Drosophila melanogaster: one gene and its partners. The protein of the gene in region 2 interacts with the protein of the main gene of each other region in a pairwise test. Each region holds a gene or a part of one and is shown on either strand. Other genes may lie near its edges.

What was found.
Region 1: the proteins of CG12992 (region 2) and Lcp1 interact in a two-hybrid assay, tested with the Drosophila melanogaster proteins (one large-scale study listed by BioGRID).
Region 3: the proteins of CG12992 (region 2) and yellow-g2 interact in a two-hybrid assay, tested with the Drosophila melanogaster proteins (one large-scale study listed by BioGRID).
Region 4: the proteins of CG12992 (region 2) and Cpr100A interact in a two-hybrid assay, tested with the Drosophila melanogaster proteins (one large-scale study listed by BioGRID).

The regions. Positions count from the first base shown.
Region 1 is NT_033778.4:8,429,567-8,433,038, forward strand, and holds Lcp1 (larval cuticle protein 1), read right to left. Parts: upstream 1,678-3,472; 5' UTR 1,636-1,677; coding exon 1,624-1,635; intron 1,560-1,623; coding exon 1,179-1,559; 3' UTR 549-1,178; downstream 1-548. UniProt on the Drosophila melanogaster protein: Component of the larval cuticle.
Region 2 is NC_004354.4:17,586,987-17,592,256, reverse strand, and holds CG12992 (uncharacterized protein), read right to left. Parts: upstream 3,393-5,270; 5' UTR 3,327-3,392; intron 3,270-3,326; 5' UTR 3,162-3,269; intron 2,300-3,161; exon of another isoform or gene 2,243-2,299; 5' UTR 2,056-2,242; coding exon 1,789-2,055; intron 1,741-1,788; coding exon 709-1,740; 3' UTR 551-708; downstream 1-550.
Region 3 is NT_037436.4:2,274,640-2,278,545, forward strand, and holds yellow-g2 (yellow-g2), read left to right. Parts: upstream 1-1,910; 5' UTR 1,911-1,958; coding exon 1,959-2,811; intron 2,812-2,869; coding exon 2,870-3,165; 3' UTR 3,166-3,399; downstream 3,400-3,906.
Region 4 is NT_033777.3:30,865,621-30,869,698, reverse strand, and holds Cpr100A (cuticular protein 100A), read right to left. Parts: upstream 2,179-4,078; 5' UTR 2,028-2,178; coding exon 2,016-2,027; intron 1,793-2,015; coding exon 1,545-1,792; intron 1,482-1,544; coding exon 1,016-1,481; 3' UTR 515-1,015; downstream 1-514.

The DNA of each region.
Region 1 (3,472 bases), on a different chromosome or scaffold from region 2:
TTGGCTTACATTTTCGTATTTGCTTTTATTTATATGTATCGTTATTTTAAGTTAGGCTGCCTAGTTATAGAATATATTCCCTATAAATCCTAAAAGAACTCGAACCAAAGTAAGTCGACTTAACTAATCGCTAAGCAAAGTACATATATCGACACCTTTGCTTATCGAGCCCACAGTCATGCCCCTTCATTTGGGATTCACTCCAGATGTTTTCAGTTTGGGGTTTTAATAAGAATCGCCTACCGGATCTCAACTGGTTATGTTACTCAGAACATTGTTATTGAAAATAAGAACAGTACAAATTATCATTTTAACAGCTTGGTGACAAATTCTGGCTTTATGCCTTTTCCGATTTTTAAATTCACGCTTTTTGCCAATCAGTTTCAAAGCTAATTCTCTTTAAACCAGAATTGGCAATCGGGTTTGTGGCCGTGATAATTATTCGAAATGTTAAAGTTGCCTTTTCGACAGGCTCTATTAAAATCTAGGGCAGATTTAAGTTATTCAAAATATTGTCAGCAAGCAAATTAAAACGAATCAGCTGTTTTACCGATACGAATTAAGGCCAAAAACGTTTATTGACAGTAATTTCTGATGGAATCTGGAGACGGTTTCAAAAAGGCTTAAAGACAATTCCCACTGAGGAGTGAACACCGCTTAATTCTGATGTTGTATGTGACAGCCAAATCACAAATCTATTCCATTTCCATTGAAAATATACGATATATGATAAATAACCTGCTCAAGTTCCTTGAGAGAATAAATGTGTTACATATTACCGACTAATTTGATATCAGCTGCATTCCTAAGTGTAAATGGATAAAACTCTAGATAATGAAGATACATGTACTCTAATAAGTACAAAGTGTGCACATTATATACTTGAGCATATTTTGTTTTTGGTGTACCTTTGTTGTGAATTCGGTTTACGGTCCAGGTAGAGACCACATTACCATATTGTACTGAACGTGCTAAACAACTAAGTAAATCGAAGGTGGTAAACGGGTAGGACGGGTTCGAAACCGTTACAGTTGTTTGCCAAATTCAAAGTCAAGGTTGCAAACTGGTTTCTGCCGTTAACAATTGCGTGTATTTTACAAACAGTACGATTACTTAAGCTAATAGTTCGAAAGGTCTTCGGGGAACAGTCCGTAGTGCGATCCGCTTTCATAGAGGTTCTAGTGATGACGGGGGTGCTCGGGTGCTGGTGGGTGGGACTCCAGCCAGGCGACGGCGCGGGCGATGGCCTCTGGGATTGGAGGAGGAGTGGGGATCCAGGCTCCCGAGGGCTGGTATCCGTTCTCATTGGCGACGTACTTAACCTCGACGTGCTCGCCCTCGGGTGAGATCCAGCCGAAGTTGCCGTGGATGTTGCCATGGGCATCACCGCTGGCGGCCTGCTCGATTCCGTTGGAGGTGTGCAGGCTGGAATCGAATCCATCGGCACGAACATCATCGGATTGGGAAAGGACATCGGCGTGGACATCCTCCGAACGGCCTAGGGAATGGGGCACCGGGGGGTTGGCCACCGCCAGGCCCAAAACTGCGCAGATCATGACCTGAAGGAGAAATAGGCATTCGTTAGGGATCGAGTATGTTGGTTCGTATCCTGCGGACACTTACAAACTTGAACATATTGGCTGACTTCTGTCTGGTCGAGAACGAACGTTGACTGATAACTGATTGTGGTCGGGCAGAGCCTTTTTATATGATTGCCACCCAAAGTGAACCCATATCAAAACGCTACATCTTGCATTCAATTGGTTCGCTGAGTTATGGGTTGACTTCGCGGATGCGCCCACACCCATTAAAAAGCATCGTCACATGCGACAGCTTAGCAAATGCCAAACAACGGGATAAGTACTATATATAATCGCTTAATAGATGCTAAAATGAAACAATCGCATCAATAAGGGGCAAACGGGTCGGGTGGCATCCCGAAATCGAAACGAGTTTGACCCGCCCCTTCATTAAATCCCCTCCTTTGAGCTTGACTTGGCATTGCCAGGCCGTGAACCACTTTTGTAGTCCCATCAAGACTCCATGGACTACAAAGCATCGCCGACTTCTTAGACTCGATGTTTTGTAATATATAAACGTGTGTCTCTACCTTGGCACCATTTCTTCTTTTTTTTATCAATTCCTCTCGACGAACAGGTTGCAGTTTGCTTTTAAACAAATTCAAGTGTGTTTTACATTATATTTCATATGCATAGCGCCTTATATTATTTTTTTATATTTCGTAAAATTAAATAAGATAATAAGACCTGTTCCATATAGGAGGCTACCGAAATACATAGTTTTTTAGTGACAATTAAAATTGTTAAGAAAACCTAATGTTAACCTAAAGAGGATATTTACTTGTCTGTATAGGCATATAAACTAAAAGTTTACTTAAAATTTATAATTCCTATAGATACATTTCATGGTATTTAAATGTGCAAGCCGAACATCTAATATAAGAGCTTGAATAGTTTGTTTTTCAGATCAGTTAGACCGCACAGTATCCTCACAAATTTGGTTTGAAAGTTAAGATTAATTTGTAATCAAACAGAATAGCCTCTTCTGAGATTTATGCTAGTGACTATCGCACCTTTAACAATCCAAGCTTCTAATATTAACTGTTGTGACGAAAATAGAGTTTTTATTCAACTAAGACAATACAATATCTAAAAGTTACTCGTTCGGGACGCTTTATGACATTATTTATTTGAGGTGCATTTGCAGACAGACAAACAACCAAACAAATTCCCAGTCTTATTTTAAAAAGAGAGAATGCTATACTCAGCTGGAAGTGTGACCGATATATTTCAATACTTTTTTGAATATCGGTAAAAATTTGGAAACAAATAATAATATGAAAAAAATTATTGAATTGTTCAAAACGTGTGGGCGTGGCAGTTTTAGGCCGTTTGTGGGCCTCTGGAATCTTCATATCTAATCTTAACTCTCTAGTTTTTGAAGTCGAGGCGTTCATACGGACATACTCTGCTATTGATCGCTTTTAAAAATATATATACTTTATATGGTGTGAAACGCCTCCTTCTACCTGTTACATAATTTTCCTAGTATTCCATTTTACTTTCGAGTAACGGGTATTATCATTTCAGTTTATCTTCGTATGTTTTTATCTCATTATCTTCTTAGATTATTTTACGGTTCAATCTCTTTACTTTTTATGCTGCCTTTCTATTGGTTATCACACAATATAATAAGACAACTACAGCAGATAGAAGTTGTCTTTGTACTCTCTGGTGCGCTTCGTCACTACGTGGAATGCCGTTCATGGTGATTCTTCTCTCTTTTTGAAACCATTTACTTATGTCGGGTAAAAAACTTTATTGAATAATATATAACATGTCGATGGAAAGTCGGTGGATGGGTCTGAGATCGGGGTGAAGAGTCTTGGTGATGGTGCGGATGCTCGGGTACCGGTCAGTGGAACGCCTTCGGGATTGGTGCAGGAGTCGGA
Region 2 (5,270 bases):
TAAAGCCATATAAATAAATTCGATCACATTAAGTATATCAATCAATCGTAAGTTTCTTCAATTGCTTTTTCGCAGGTGTTATCAATATCTTTGATTAGATAATGAGCTTAAGCCCAAATTCTAATCATAATGGCAGGAAAATTTCACATTTTATAAGGCAAGATTCATCTTATTTGATTTCTTATTTTACTTGGCCAAAAAAGAAAAAAGAAAAAAATTTCTTTTGTTGGCATTGGTTTGGTAATAGTAGAAAACCAAACAACTGACCACCAAACAATCGACGCTGACTAGTTGATTTTTTCCTTTATTTCAATTGTTGGTAAGCTGCTCGATTTTTTCATTAATTTCTTTTTTCGCATGTTTTTCACTTTCTTCCGCCGAGTTGAAAGTGAAATTTGATGGCATTTCTTTATACATCATCATCATTACACATTTTACTTAAATTCTAATTGAGGTAGTTGAGATGCATACATTTTTTGTTTATCTTCGGATTGCATCATTACAAAAGATGGTTAAGTGTAATTGGCTTACAAATATATGGAAAATATTTGTAACATTACAAATGTTTATTAATACATAGATGCAAAATAAATGATTAGGATTACGGAATTGGTCTGTGTATTACATTAGCAATTTTTTTCGAATGGTGTTGAATGATGAATAGATTTTTAAATGCTACACTATTCCGATTTCCCTCCGGATTCTATTTTACATCTTGTTGCCGTGGTTTGAATTACGAGAGCAGCTGGCATTGGCGTCCTGTGGCTCACCGAACATAAAATGCGAAACATATTCCGGAATATATACCGGCCAGCAAGGATGCTGCTGCGCTTCGGCCTGATAAGTTTCGCTAATCAATGGCGGTTGATTTAAATTTGAACCATTAGCCGTCGGCATTTGGTTATACTTTGGCATGAAGCCTGACTGCTGGGACATCGGAAAACCAGTCGGAGGATAGCCGTAAGCGGATGTCGATTGAGCGTTGTAATAGGAATTGGAACCATAGCCGAAACCTTGCGCCGATTGGTAGTTATCAAATTGGATATTCGGGCGATTTGAAGATGAAATCGAATCATTGCCCGGATAATTTTCGCGCAGATTGCGGATTACGGTCATGAAGGCCTCCTCCAATGGATAATCCTTCCGGCGAGAATTCGTTCCACCCGCAATCGATTGAGGATGGCCCGACCTATCGGCACCCAAGGCAGAGCCTCTCGGCGAAGAGTTGAGACCCGGCTGGGATTTCGTCCTCGAGGGCTCAGCTTTCTTGGAGCCATTGGCAGCGGCAATGTTTTCGCTGGCCTCCGGTGGATGAAACTCCGGATATGAGAAGAAATCCCGGGCAATCTTCTTCAGATTCTGCATGCTGAATGGGTCAGCTGAAGAATCGCTAGTTCCGAAAAACCCCTGGCTTTTAACCGATTGACTGGGCCAAGTGAACGTGGCGGATGATGAGCTGGTATCCGGACATTTCTGCTTTTCGCCCGAAACATTGCCATGATGACAACACGATCCAATTTGATTGACAGATGAGCCCTCCTTGGGTGGAGGAGCATTCACTGCGGTGGGCCCGTCTTGCTTATTGGCCACAACGCTTGAATACAACTGCTTGGGACGGCTCTTGTCCTCGTGCTGATTGGGCTTCTCCTGCTTGGATGCTTCATTGCCATTTTGTTGCATCTTCGACGATGGATTCCTTCGATTGCGTTGCATCTGCTTAGATTGATTATGCTGAAAGTACTATTTTATGCGATAAGCCCGCTTTTTGCACTATACTTATTGCTTCACCTGTTTCACAGTGTCCTCCGGCACCACGTGGTTCAGCCCCTGCATTGGCACCTTTCCAGCTCGCTCGGAATTTGGGCGAGCCGCATTTTTGCCCTGTTTCTTGCTATAAGCAGGATTCGGTGGAATGATGGACTGCCTCATCGACGGCTGCTGTATAATTTTTGGGGGTTCCAAAATACACGCGGCCTTTGCTATGTTCTGATTTTGTGATTTGATCAAACGTTTGAGTTGCGCCTGTGACATTCTGGGAAATTTTTTGTGTGGCATTTTGATTGGAATTTTAGTTTTTTTTTTTTCAAACGTTAGTACGTGTAATCCGGAGGTATACGAAACTGAATAGAGCTCAGGCAATTCCAAATGACATTCGAGTTGACAGAAGGCACTGCTTACTTGAAATTTGTTGGCGATTCTTTTTCTAGAACATGAGGTTAGGTTTCCCACTTTCGGCCAATCACTGCTAAGTTCATCAGCAAATTAAACAATACTGGATTTATCTAAACTTATTTAAACACTAAAATGAATTATGCAATACTAGATAAATATGTAGTTATTGGAACATTATACAGCACTGGATGTATCTAAACTTATTCTAACAAAATCTAAACCTAATTATACAATGCTAGATAAACAAGATAAGATGAACATAAACATATGCACACACACACACACACACACAGTACATGAAAAGCTTATTCAACACTGGATATAAATCAAAACAAAAACAAACTTAACTTAATTTGGATTCAAAACACTGAATCAAATGGTGGATTATTTTAGACCAAACCATTGTTGAGTCTTAATAATATTATTAATTTATGATACAAGTTATGTACTCTTACAAATACATTTCTCTTATTTAAAACATCATTTGCTAGACTAGAAAACAACCTTTGTATGTATGTAAGAGTATGTATTTATCTATTTATTTATGTATGTAACCTTATAGGCACATCATTTGAACCTTCTGATTTCCACATCATCTTTAGTTATTGATGTTATCGCCCGATCTATGTGTGAATATCATATCATCGTTTTACGCAACTTCCACCCTATATTTATTGTACACCCCCCGCCAAAAAAGAAAAAAATCCCCATAGCAACAATGGCGAATGCCAAGATGCGATTTCCCTGGGCCCCAAAAGACCCAAGTTGCGTTTTCAGTTCGCTCCGCATTTCGTCTTTTGGTTTTTGCTATTGTTTTGATGGAAGCTGCAATTGCAGTTGCAACTGCTGACTGGCAACCGGATATGGTCACGAAAATCTGAAATCTCATATCCATATGCGAGTGACGCTCTGCATATGATTTGCAGATGTTGATGTTGCTTGTTTTCCCTTTTCCCAATTTCCCTTATTTTCCTTGCGTTACTACTTACAGTTTTAGTTGTTCCTACTTTGATTTCCTCAGTGTGTGGCTTGAGTTTTCCTTAGTATTCCGCCCTAGTGAATATTTAATTTGTTTCCTTCTTGCACTTCAGATGCAACTGCAAGTAAATCAAGTAATAAAATTAAACATTTTATAAGAAAGAAATGTATATTACTTTAAGGCCCGTGCCAAGGAATATGTATATACTACTTTTCTAACAACTTGTCATAATTTGATGTAAATTTCCAAGCTACTTAAGTTGATCAGTTGAGTGGCACAATACTGACTTGAAGGACAATATCTAGATTACTCGGATCTCAAGATTTCTGCTCTGTTTTGGATGCCCGCTGACGTGGACACACTCAGATGCGCTCCAGTGCCGATCCGGCTGGGTAAGCTCACCGATCTTAGCCAGATATCGACCCCCAGCCCACTCCCTTTTGTATCCCTTGAACTGTGGTGTAATTCGACTCAGTTTTTGTTTTCCGCTTCTGGCTGCGTTTTTGGCCAATCAAAGCAAGACTTGCCTTGGCTTTTGGCTTATTAATTATAATTAATAATTGCTACCCACTGGGCTGAGTCAGAGATTATGTTTACGTTTTGGTATCACCCTATAAGTTTGCGATGCTTATGCAATGCGCTGCAATTAATTGCGATAAGAACGTGCTCGAGTGTAACGTGAACCACTGCTATGGGTTGGGTTCAGAACCCCTGCAAATGACGTACATAGTTACTACAGCAGGGGGCAAATTACTAGCAGACATATTACCTTATTTGACTAAATAACACTTTGAACTTTGAATATCATAAGCGCGTTCACATTAGAGGTTTAATATAATGCAAATGCTGAGTTGTCCATTGAATTGATTAGTTGTTATTAAATCCGATTTATAGTCACAGTATTTGTAAGAATAATACTTTATAAGCCATGTACACTTTTGCCCATTATTGTGCACATTTTTCTGAAGGGCGCACCCATATGACGCGTTTGTGTTTCTTTGGTTCTGGGCTGAGAAAGTGACAAAACACAAAACAAATTTCGTTGACCATGTTTGGAGTGGCGCTGCTTCTTATTCTGTTTTGGTTTCGGCTTCTAGGTTTGTTTTCCGTTTCCATTTCTGTTTTCGTCTCGTTTTCCATTTCCATGCGACGTGGTCGGAATGACCAAGTGGTGCTCCACTATTGGGGACAGCGGTTTGTTGTTGTAGTTGTGGGTGCTCGATTAGCTGACACCGATTCTCGATGGTTGATAAGGCTAGTTCAGTTGGCCGTCCGCAAGACTGGGCCAAGTCGATTTTAATCGCATTGATTTCGTTTAAGTGCAAGCAAAACTATTTACCCCAACTCCCTCAAGGGGGTTTGGTTTGACCTCAAAACGGGCGGTTTGACCAGCAAATACTAACCTCTTTCCTTTGCTATCTTGCCTTTATTAATTCATTTTGGGTACTAGTTTGATCGCTTACTAAAACCCCTACTGAATAAACTATAACTGACCTTATTCACTGTCCGATATGATACCACCATCTATTATTTACCATTTGTTGGCTTTTATTACTTACTGGCCAAGCCAAAGCCAAGTTATTCTGGTTACTAGCCAATAAGCATTAAAATACAGCGTTTTGTTTGGCGAAATCAATTAGTAAATTAAACAAATGAAGACATTAATGCTATTAAAGAGTGTTAATCATTCAATGTGGTTCATATGGCTGCCTTTCTCTTCACTTCTTTTATTTTTTCCACGTTTTTGCTTCAATATTTAGCAGTTTGTCATCTCTTGAATGATGATGATGGTCAAAATATTGCTACCATCGTTCGTTCAACTCGTTGCCGATTTGCAAATCTGGCTAAGAGCTGGCACGCCACATCCGAACATGCATATATGTATGTATGTATGTAAATATACAATTTATTTTAACCATAATGATATGGCCAATTCCGATGTTTCACATGCGTCTGGCTTCAAGCTAACTATGTGCAAATGATCGGGCGCACAAAGGCGAAGAAACTATTTGCCAAATTTTTAATAACCATAATTAAGTGCTTAGAGACGGCCAGGAAATTGCATAATTGTGGTTTCTGGCGGCTCCCCAAACCCTCTTCTTCACCAAATCATCTCCAT
Region 3 (3,906 bases), on a different chromosome or scaffold from region 2:
TCCATGGATAGTGTATTTGTGTATTTGTGGGAACTGTCCGCACTCATTTGGAAATATTTTCTCCTTGATATCGACAGATGCGTTTAAATGGCAAATGTAAACTCATTGATAGCACATTGGGTGCAAAAAGTGAATGTTTCATATGCACACACAGTAGCAGCGGGTTGCCAAGAGCAATTTGTCGGATGAATTCAATGAATTCAATTATTGCAAAACAATTAAACCAAGATGGGCCACTGGATAAAGGCAATAATTTATGGCGATTGCAAAAGGTTGAGAGCCAATGTGGACAACTTTAAGCAGACGTAAACAAAACTTGGCCGACGAAAGAAAGCCAGCAAAGTGAAAGCAAAGCACATAAATTAGGCGAGCGGCCAAAAAATTATGGGAAGATTAACTTTAAGCGCAGCTGATGACTTTTTAATACCCTGTACTACAACTGTAAGCCCCTGAAAACTTTCTGTGATAACCAATTTAAATCAAATTACCTATATATTACCTATAGCTAGTTAACTATAACTATCATAAAAATACTATTTTAAATGACGTTATTAATCCACCCTGGAGTTCAGCATTTCCAGAAAAGGTTGGTCTGAATTTATGTGAAATTCCCGGTAAAGAAAATCGCTTTCCTCAGCACAAAGTTAAAAAAGCATAAACCTCATTTGGCCCATTTACCAAAACAAATCAAACGTGACCACAGACAATTTTTTTTTTGTACATTTTTCCGCTGCTGCGGGACAAAAAAAAAGAACGACAAATTATTGGCTTATTTGCGTTTTCAATTGGATTTTTATTGGCACACATATAAAAAGTTGAACTTTGCTTTGTTGCGCAGCGCGTTTTAAAGAAGTCGCACATAATCCCCCGACTTTGCAGATGACGCATACGCCCCGTTAACGGGCCATAAACAAGAACTGTCAATGTAATGTGTGGAGAACGTCCTGCGGAATGTCTGGCCATGGTTTTGCCGAGCAGTGAGTGGAGTTTCCCCAGCTAATGGGGGTCAGTCGGCAGTCGTCCGGCAGTCTCTTATCTACCCCCCAAAACTTTTTTGTTGCTGGGAGGTAAGTGTTTACATAAATTATGTCAGATGAGCAGCCCGGAAATGCTTGTCATCAATTTTTTGCGCTCCATCTATGTATGTATATGTATATATGTGCGCTTGTCTCGTATAAATCATTCTGGTGGGTGGGGAAAAAGCCAACCGGAATGCGGGTTTCGGCTGACAATTTAACATGCCAAACACGTTGGTTTTGGTTTGGGGCGATTCCGGGTTGTCTGCCCGTATCGAGGGCCTTAACCTATTTAGGGGCAATTATGGTGATGGAAATGGCGAAATGGCCCAGGAATTCTGCAGGGAAATCCCGGGGATGCTGAGATTTTTCTTTCACTCCTTCAATCACTCTTTATGGGCCAACTTATGGCTGGCAAAATCTCAGATTGAGGTCATTTTGTTGCCCGCAATTAATTAGCTAAAAATATCGCCACCAATCTGGAGACACTTGTTGGGGTTCCGTTTTCAATTGACTGCAATAATTGCAATGCCATTTTTATGGTCGATTGGATAATTGCGGGAGGAATGTGTCCTTCGCCTTGGTCCTTTGGCTCCATTCGAAAACTTCCCTGGCTTCTGTCCTGGGAATGGCTGGCTTTTAGTTATGTAATGGAATTGAAACTATTCAATTAATGTATACAAGTTCATATTAATAGCACAAGTTAATGATTTAATTTCAGTCATAAATGTCATTAGTTTTTACCATCGTTTACTGGTTAACTCTTGCCAAGGTCATAAAGTTCGCAAAAAATCAGTTTAAAAGCTAAGAATTGGGTGCGAGGCACGTTGCCGTCTTGTGGTCAAATTCTATGGGCTGTTGGGTTATATAAGCACGCCACTTGGCCAATTTGGGGAGCAGAACGCGCACGTCGCTGCCGCACCATTAACAATTGCTTCCACGATGAGACTGCACTTGGCCCTGATCCTTGGATTTTGCCTAGTTGGCTGGGCCCGCTCGCAGGGCACCAAGTACGGACTGTGGACTCCGGATCGGGCGCACTCCGATTCTCAGCCCATCCAGTGGACGGGCGGGCAATTCGAGTTCCCATGCGCCAGTACCAAGTCGCTCTTCAAGAGCTCCGGAAAGTTTATACCCAAGAATGTGATTGCCACGCGGGCGCAGCTCATTGGAGACACCATCTATCTGGCTCTGCCGCGCTACAGGAAGGGAGTTCCGGCCACGCTGGTGAAGACCAGTATCAAGCCGGGCACCTGCTCCACCACCTTTAAGCCCTATCCCTGCTGGGACCTCCAGGAGGAGGGCAACTGCAAGGCTCTGCAATCGGTGGTGGATCTGGTGGTAGACCAAAACGAGGTGCTCTGGGTCTTGGACACGGGCATAGTGAACACTCTGGAGACTCCGGTGCGCAAGTGCCCACCAAAAGTGGTGGCCATGTCGGTGAAGACTGGCAAGGTTCTGAAGACCGTCTCGCTGGAGGGCCTGACTTCCAGCAATTCCCGTCTCCAATATCTGGTAGTGGACTATGCTCCGGATGGCGGCTGCTTTGTCTACGTCAGCGATGCCGCCAATCGGGCCATCATCGTGTACAATCTCCAGGCGGATCGGGGATTCAGGGTGGTGCTGCCCAAGGCCGTTACCGCCGGCTGTCGGTCGAGGGATGTCCTCTACATAGCCCTCATCCGCCGGGACTGCGGCTCAACGGAACTGTACTTCACCTACCTGAGCACCAACAAACTGTTCTCCCTGAAGTCAGAGTATCTGAGGAGTGGAGTGGCCGATGGACGCATCTTGGGTGAGTTATATATTTCGAATTTCAAAGAAAACATTTATTAAGTTATCATAATATTCAGATCTCGGCAAGAAGCCCAGTCGCATGGTCATCATCGGCACGGACAACGGCTCGGCGATCTTCTTCCGCAACGAGGGCGACGCGGAGGTGTACCGCTGGGACACGAACTCCACATTCGTGGAGGCCAACTTCAAGCCGGTTTACCGCAGTCAGACCTGCCAGCTGGTGACCCATGCTGTGCCCGATTACAAGCGGAACACGATGCGAGTCCTGCAGAGCAATTTTCCGGATTACATGCAGAACCGCGTTGGATGCGGAGCCATTCAGCAGCTGGGTCTGATGCAGGGCTGTTGGTAACCATGTTAACACCCCATTTTGGCCACCACTCGTCCTCCACAAGCCAATCCGAATTGAAAGCTGAAAAACTGAATATGCCATTGCAGTTAGATTGGCAATAACCGAGAATGGGTCGCTCTTTGGACCCTCGAGTGCTCTTCGTATTTGGTATTGGTGTTTTGTACATAAACTAACGACTTTGGTCGCTATTGTTGTTATCTAAGCTAAGCAAATAAACGTTTCATATTCATACAGAAGGAGAGGCTAAATAATTGGGGCTACTGTCGCTGATAAATGGAATATTTCAATATGTAAATTGGTAGTCCACATACACTGTATATGCATGGATAGCAGTTTTTCTCTTTTAATAGCTTTTTGCATTGCTTTTATTGCACTTTATTTTACCTCTTAAAAACTTAATTTTATTTGTTACTGTTTCTGGCAACTTTACTCTGCCATAAAACTTGGGAACAACAGCGACATTAATTAAGCTAATTGGAACTGGTCCTCGTGTTAAAGTAGTCAGTAAAGTGCACAGATTATACTGCCATTCCCATATCTCTTCGCCCCTCACTGACGGAAAATCGAGAGGATCGAACTTCGTAACCTGGAGACGTTGGGTGTGGAAAAGGCCAGGCAAGTGTTAATTGGAAGTTGGCTGATAAATTGCACGGCATCCCTTGCAGTGGCTTCCGATTCCGTATATTTCGTCGACTCAATCGGAAAAACAGCCACAAGGCGCCGCGGGAAATTGCGCTCGAT
Region 4 (4,078 bases), on a different chromosome or scaffold from region 2:
TTAAGTTGTAAACTATAACACACATATGCTGAGAACTCAGCAGGTGAGAGGAAATAGCAAATTAGCTGGCGGCATTCTTGCGTTCGATGGTGCATAAAATATGCAAAACATTTGGATGTTATTAAGTTGCACTAACGCAACTGGAGCCTGACGGATCGCAATACCATTGGGAATTGATTTAGAGCCCCAATCCCCTAATGAACCAGTGCCACCCCCACTTGCACATGGTTTTCCGGCTTAGCCAGCACCAGCACACCAGGCTGATTTCATTTTCATCGGAATTTTGCACAATTGGCCAAGATTACTGTCAAATGAGCGAAACCCGTTTGAGGTCTTTCCTTGTTGGCCGCATAGAATCGTAACAGAAACTCGAAACTTGTTTTGCACGTACGAAAGTCGGTTGTGTAATGCCGCATTTAGTGGGCGTTCACCACCCGAGGTGTTTAGATAAATCTGCTGGAAATTAAATAAGCGGCCACTGGCCGAAAAACAAAAGACTGCAGGACACGAACTTGGTTTCCTTCATATATTGTTTTTACTCGATTATAGTACAAATTGCTCAGACGTCCCAAGGCCCAAATTAACATAGTTTCTAAATTAATTTTGATCATTTTTCAACATCATCGAAGTTTATTGACTTCTCTTTTCTTGGGAAGACTTAAATGGAAAGATTAAAGTTTAATGGGAAAGTCACAGAGAAAAAGGCCGACATTTCTTGAGTTTTTTCATATTTCAAAAATATGCAAATGATATTTTGAATATATTTTGTAATTTAAATCAGCAATACCCATTGGGCAGCAGCGATTAATTTTCTCTGTGTAGGATTATAAATTAATAACAAACAGTACGCATATAGGAAGTACGATACAATTGCTCTTAAACATATCACACGAGAGTTTGATGGAGTCAAGAAAAGAGTAGGGGTTCTAGTTGTGATAGGGAAAGTTGGAAAAGAAGAAAGAGGATCCCTACTAATGAAGAAGATGCATAATGTCTGAGTGGAGGACAGTGGGGCTTATACCTTGTTGAAGGAGTAGGTGAAGCCATCGGGCGTGCGGTTCAGGGACAGTTTGCCGGGTGGCGAAAAGCGGTGTGGGTTGGGGGTGGTGGTGGTGTAGTACGCCTGCTGGGGTTGCGGCTGCTGATACTGGGGTTGGGGCTGCTGATACTGAGGCTGGTACTGCTGCTGCGGCTGCACGGGCTGTGGGTTGTAGGCGGGCTGGGGAGCAGGACGGTACTGCGGCTGGGCAGCGGGCTGCTGGTAGCTCTGCTGGTTCTGTCCGAAAGAGGGATCGTTGTAGCGGGGATCGTAGGAACCATCATCTCCGTAGTCATTGCTGCGGAAACTGGCCTGCGGCTGGGGAGCGGGAGCCTGGTACTGCTGCGGCTGGTACTGCTGCTGTGGCTGATATCCCGCTGTGGGCACGGGCTGTGGTGGAGCAGGTGGTGCCTGGGGCAAGTGATCTCCAGAAGCTTGGAAACTATTTCGGAATAAAAACCAAATTAATACAAGTTCGGGTATTTGTTCTATAGAAAGTGCTTACCCATTTTTGCCAGCTGTGTACGAAATAGTACGCCTCTGGCCCGTGGGATCCAGATAGCTGTAGCTGCCATGACGTGTTCCATCCGCATCCGTCTCCTCCTTGAAGTTGATGCCATCCTCCTGCTCATAGGCAGCTCCGAACTTTCCATCTCCGGACAGATAACGCTGCTCACTGATGATGGCCGCCGTTTTGGGATCCTGGTGATAGTGCTGGCTGGAAGCCAGGGCCACCAAGGTGGTCAGTGCAAGCTGTCAAGAATTCAAAATTTATTGTACAATCAAGTATTTGTGTGCTGCCAATTCCTTAATCTGAGTCATTATCACTTAACGTATTATAAGGTAAGACTTTCACTATTTAATGTGTACTCTAGAATATCCTGGTTTGAATTGACACTTTTGTCCGTCAGTTTGATTACTTTTCTCTTAATAGCTTTTAAATTGTTCGAACAGCCTTGAATAAAACACAACTCACAAATCTGAACATTTTGGTGTGGGGAATATCCTTGTCAAGCGTAAACTGCACACAATTTTATCTTCTTCTCGAGGGGGATTCACACGCGCCTTTACGCTTACAAGTCGGTTAAGAGGGAAATGGGACCGACGGCAACGGATTTGTGGAGTTAACTGCCTTCCGCAACGGTGCCGCCCAAGCTTTTTATAGTCCGAGCGGGAACCTTGGATCGCTGGATCGCCGATCGACTCCGCCTAGGCACTCCAAGCTATGTAATTGTGTTGGTACTATTAACGTTAACGGCAACAACAAGTCGGCCAAGTCGGCGTAACAATAACAAGAATCGAGCTAAGTGCTCCAATAAGTCAACTTTGGGCGAGTATTGGTATCGCGGTCGTGTTGCCAAGTCGTTTTACCAGTTTCGATCTCTTTCGCTTGGAGCGCCAACTTTTGCTTTCTATATATACGAATATATGCTATATGCACTTAGTTCCACCGTTTCTGCCTGCACCAGGCCCAAGCCCAAGACGAAAATATTTTTTAATTATTTCAAAAGTTTTTCAGCTGTAATCCAGCCTCAGCGCAGAGGTATCCTCATCTGGGAGGGGATCTATCGAAACCAGGAATTACCAATTAGTTCTGCAGAGCATGATGCAATTTTAATGGCAATAGTTTAGTTTAAGAGTAGGAAAAAAGGAAAATGTATGGAAAATACAAATAAAACGGGATATAAAATAGATTGAATAATAGTATTGTATGCCAATAATGTTGGCCTAAGCTAAAAAACAGAAATAGAAAGTAACTACAACACCCTGTGGAAGAAATTGGCAAAAGCCTCGTCTTTATTGTCTTTTTGATTTTTCCAGTGTGAAAAGCCCGTGGAAACTGTCGATTGTGATGGATAACTGGGCGGTCGCCCTCTGCTGAAAATCCGAACATATCTTGGGAAATTCGCCAAATGAGCGTTGTTAACTTTTCACTCCCCTCTTCAAGTTGTAAAGTTGTAAAGCCGTTTGTTTGCCTTTTAGCTGGATTTGCGTTCTGCATGTGCATGGCCAAGTTGATTTATATCTAGATCGGACTGAAAAGCTGGACTTTGTGGTGTGGCCAAAAGCGCTTGGCAACAATCGCCAGTGTTACCGCAATGTGTTTGACTTGTTGACTCTGCGCTGGCTTCAATTATTTATTGTGTTTGAAATGTCTGGCATTGTTTGGGCTTGTTTATGGCCAAAGCAGTTGGCCGCCCACCCACATGCCACACGCCCACTCCCACGCCCCCCACTTTGCGTAATGTTTGCAGAGAACTTTTGGCATTATTTATGATCTAACAATGCAAACAGGTCTGCATCTCCAACTTTGGTTATTTGAAGTTTTATATCTAGAGTCAAATTAACATTACATTATCTATATCGATATTCATTTTAATTTTAAAGAATTTTTCTTAAGCCCTAAAATTGAACGTAAAGAGAATTAGAGCATTTATGTATGCAAATCGGGTTTTCATATTTTAATGAGCGATTTCCACACAGCGGCACACTCTTGCACACAAAGTAGCCGCATGGGGTCGAAGATTTCGAGTAGCAACACTCTCATTTACACCGTTATTTGCCCTTTTGCAAGTCGCCATCGTCTGAACATCGCCATCATCATTACCATCGTCATTATCCGGCGGTCTTGTTTGTGTGGCCAAAAGCGGAGAACGCCCTCTCGCAGCAGGAGGCGGTGATCAGAGCAGAAAGCGGTAAAAGGAGGAGGAAATTAAATCAGTTGACAAACAACAACAGGAAACTGCAGCTATGGCATATAGTTCCGGAATATATACTTGATGTGCGAACGCCATGGCAAGGAGGCGATGGCAAGAGCAGCGGATCCAAGGTGAGGCCGAGCAGTTGAGCATGGCCGGATTAGCTTGAGGGTGTGCCCATCGGAGGGTTGAAACGGTCTAGCTACAGTGATCACTCGGAAACTAGAAATTCTAGAATTTCCTCTACTTAAAATATCTATAGAAATGGAACTACAGTTATATCTAAAATATTTAAAGATCCTTTTCTCTTTATTCCTATAGCATTATCTATATTTCCAAC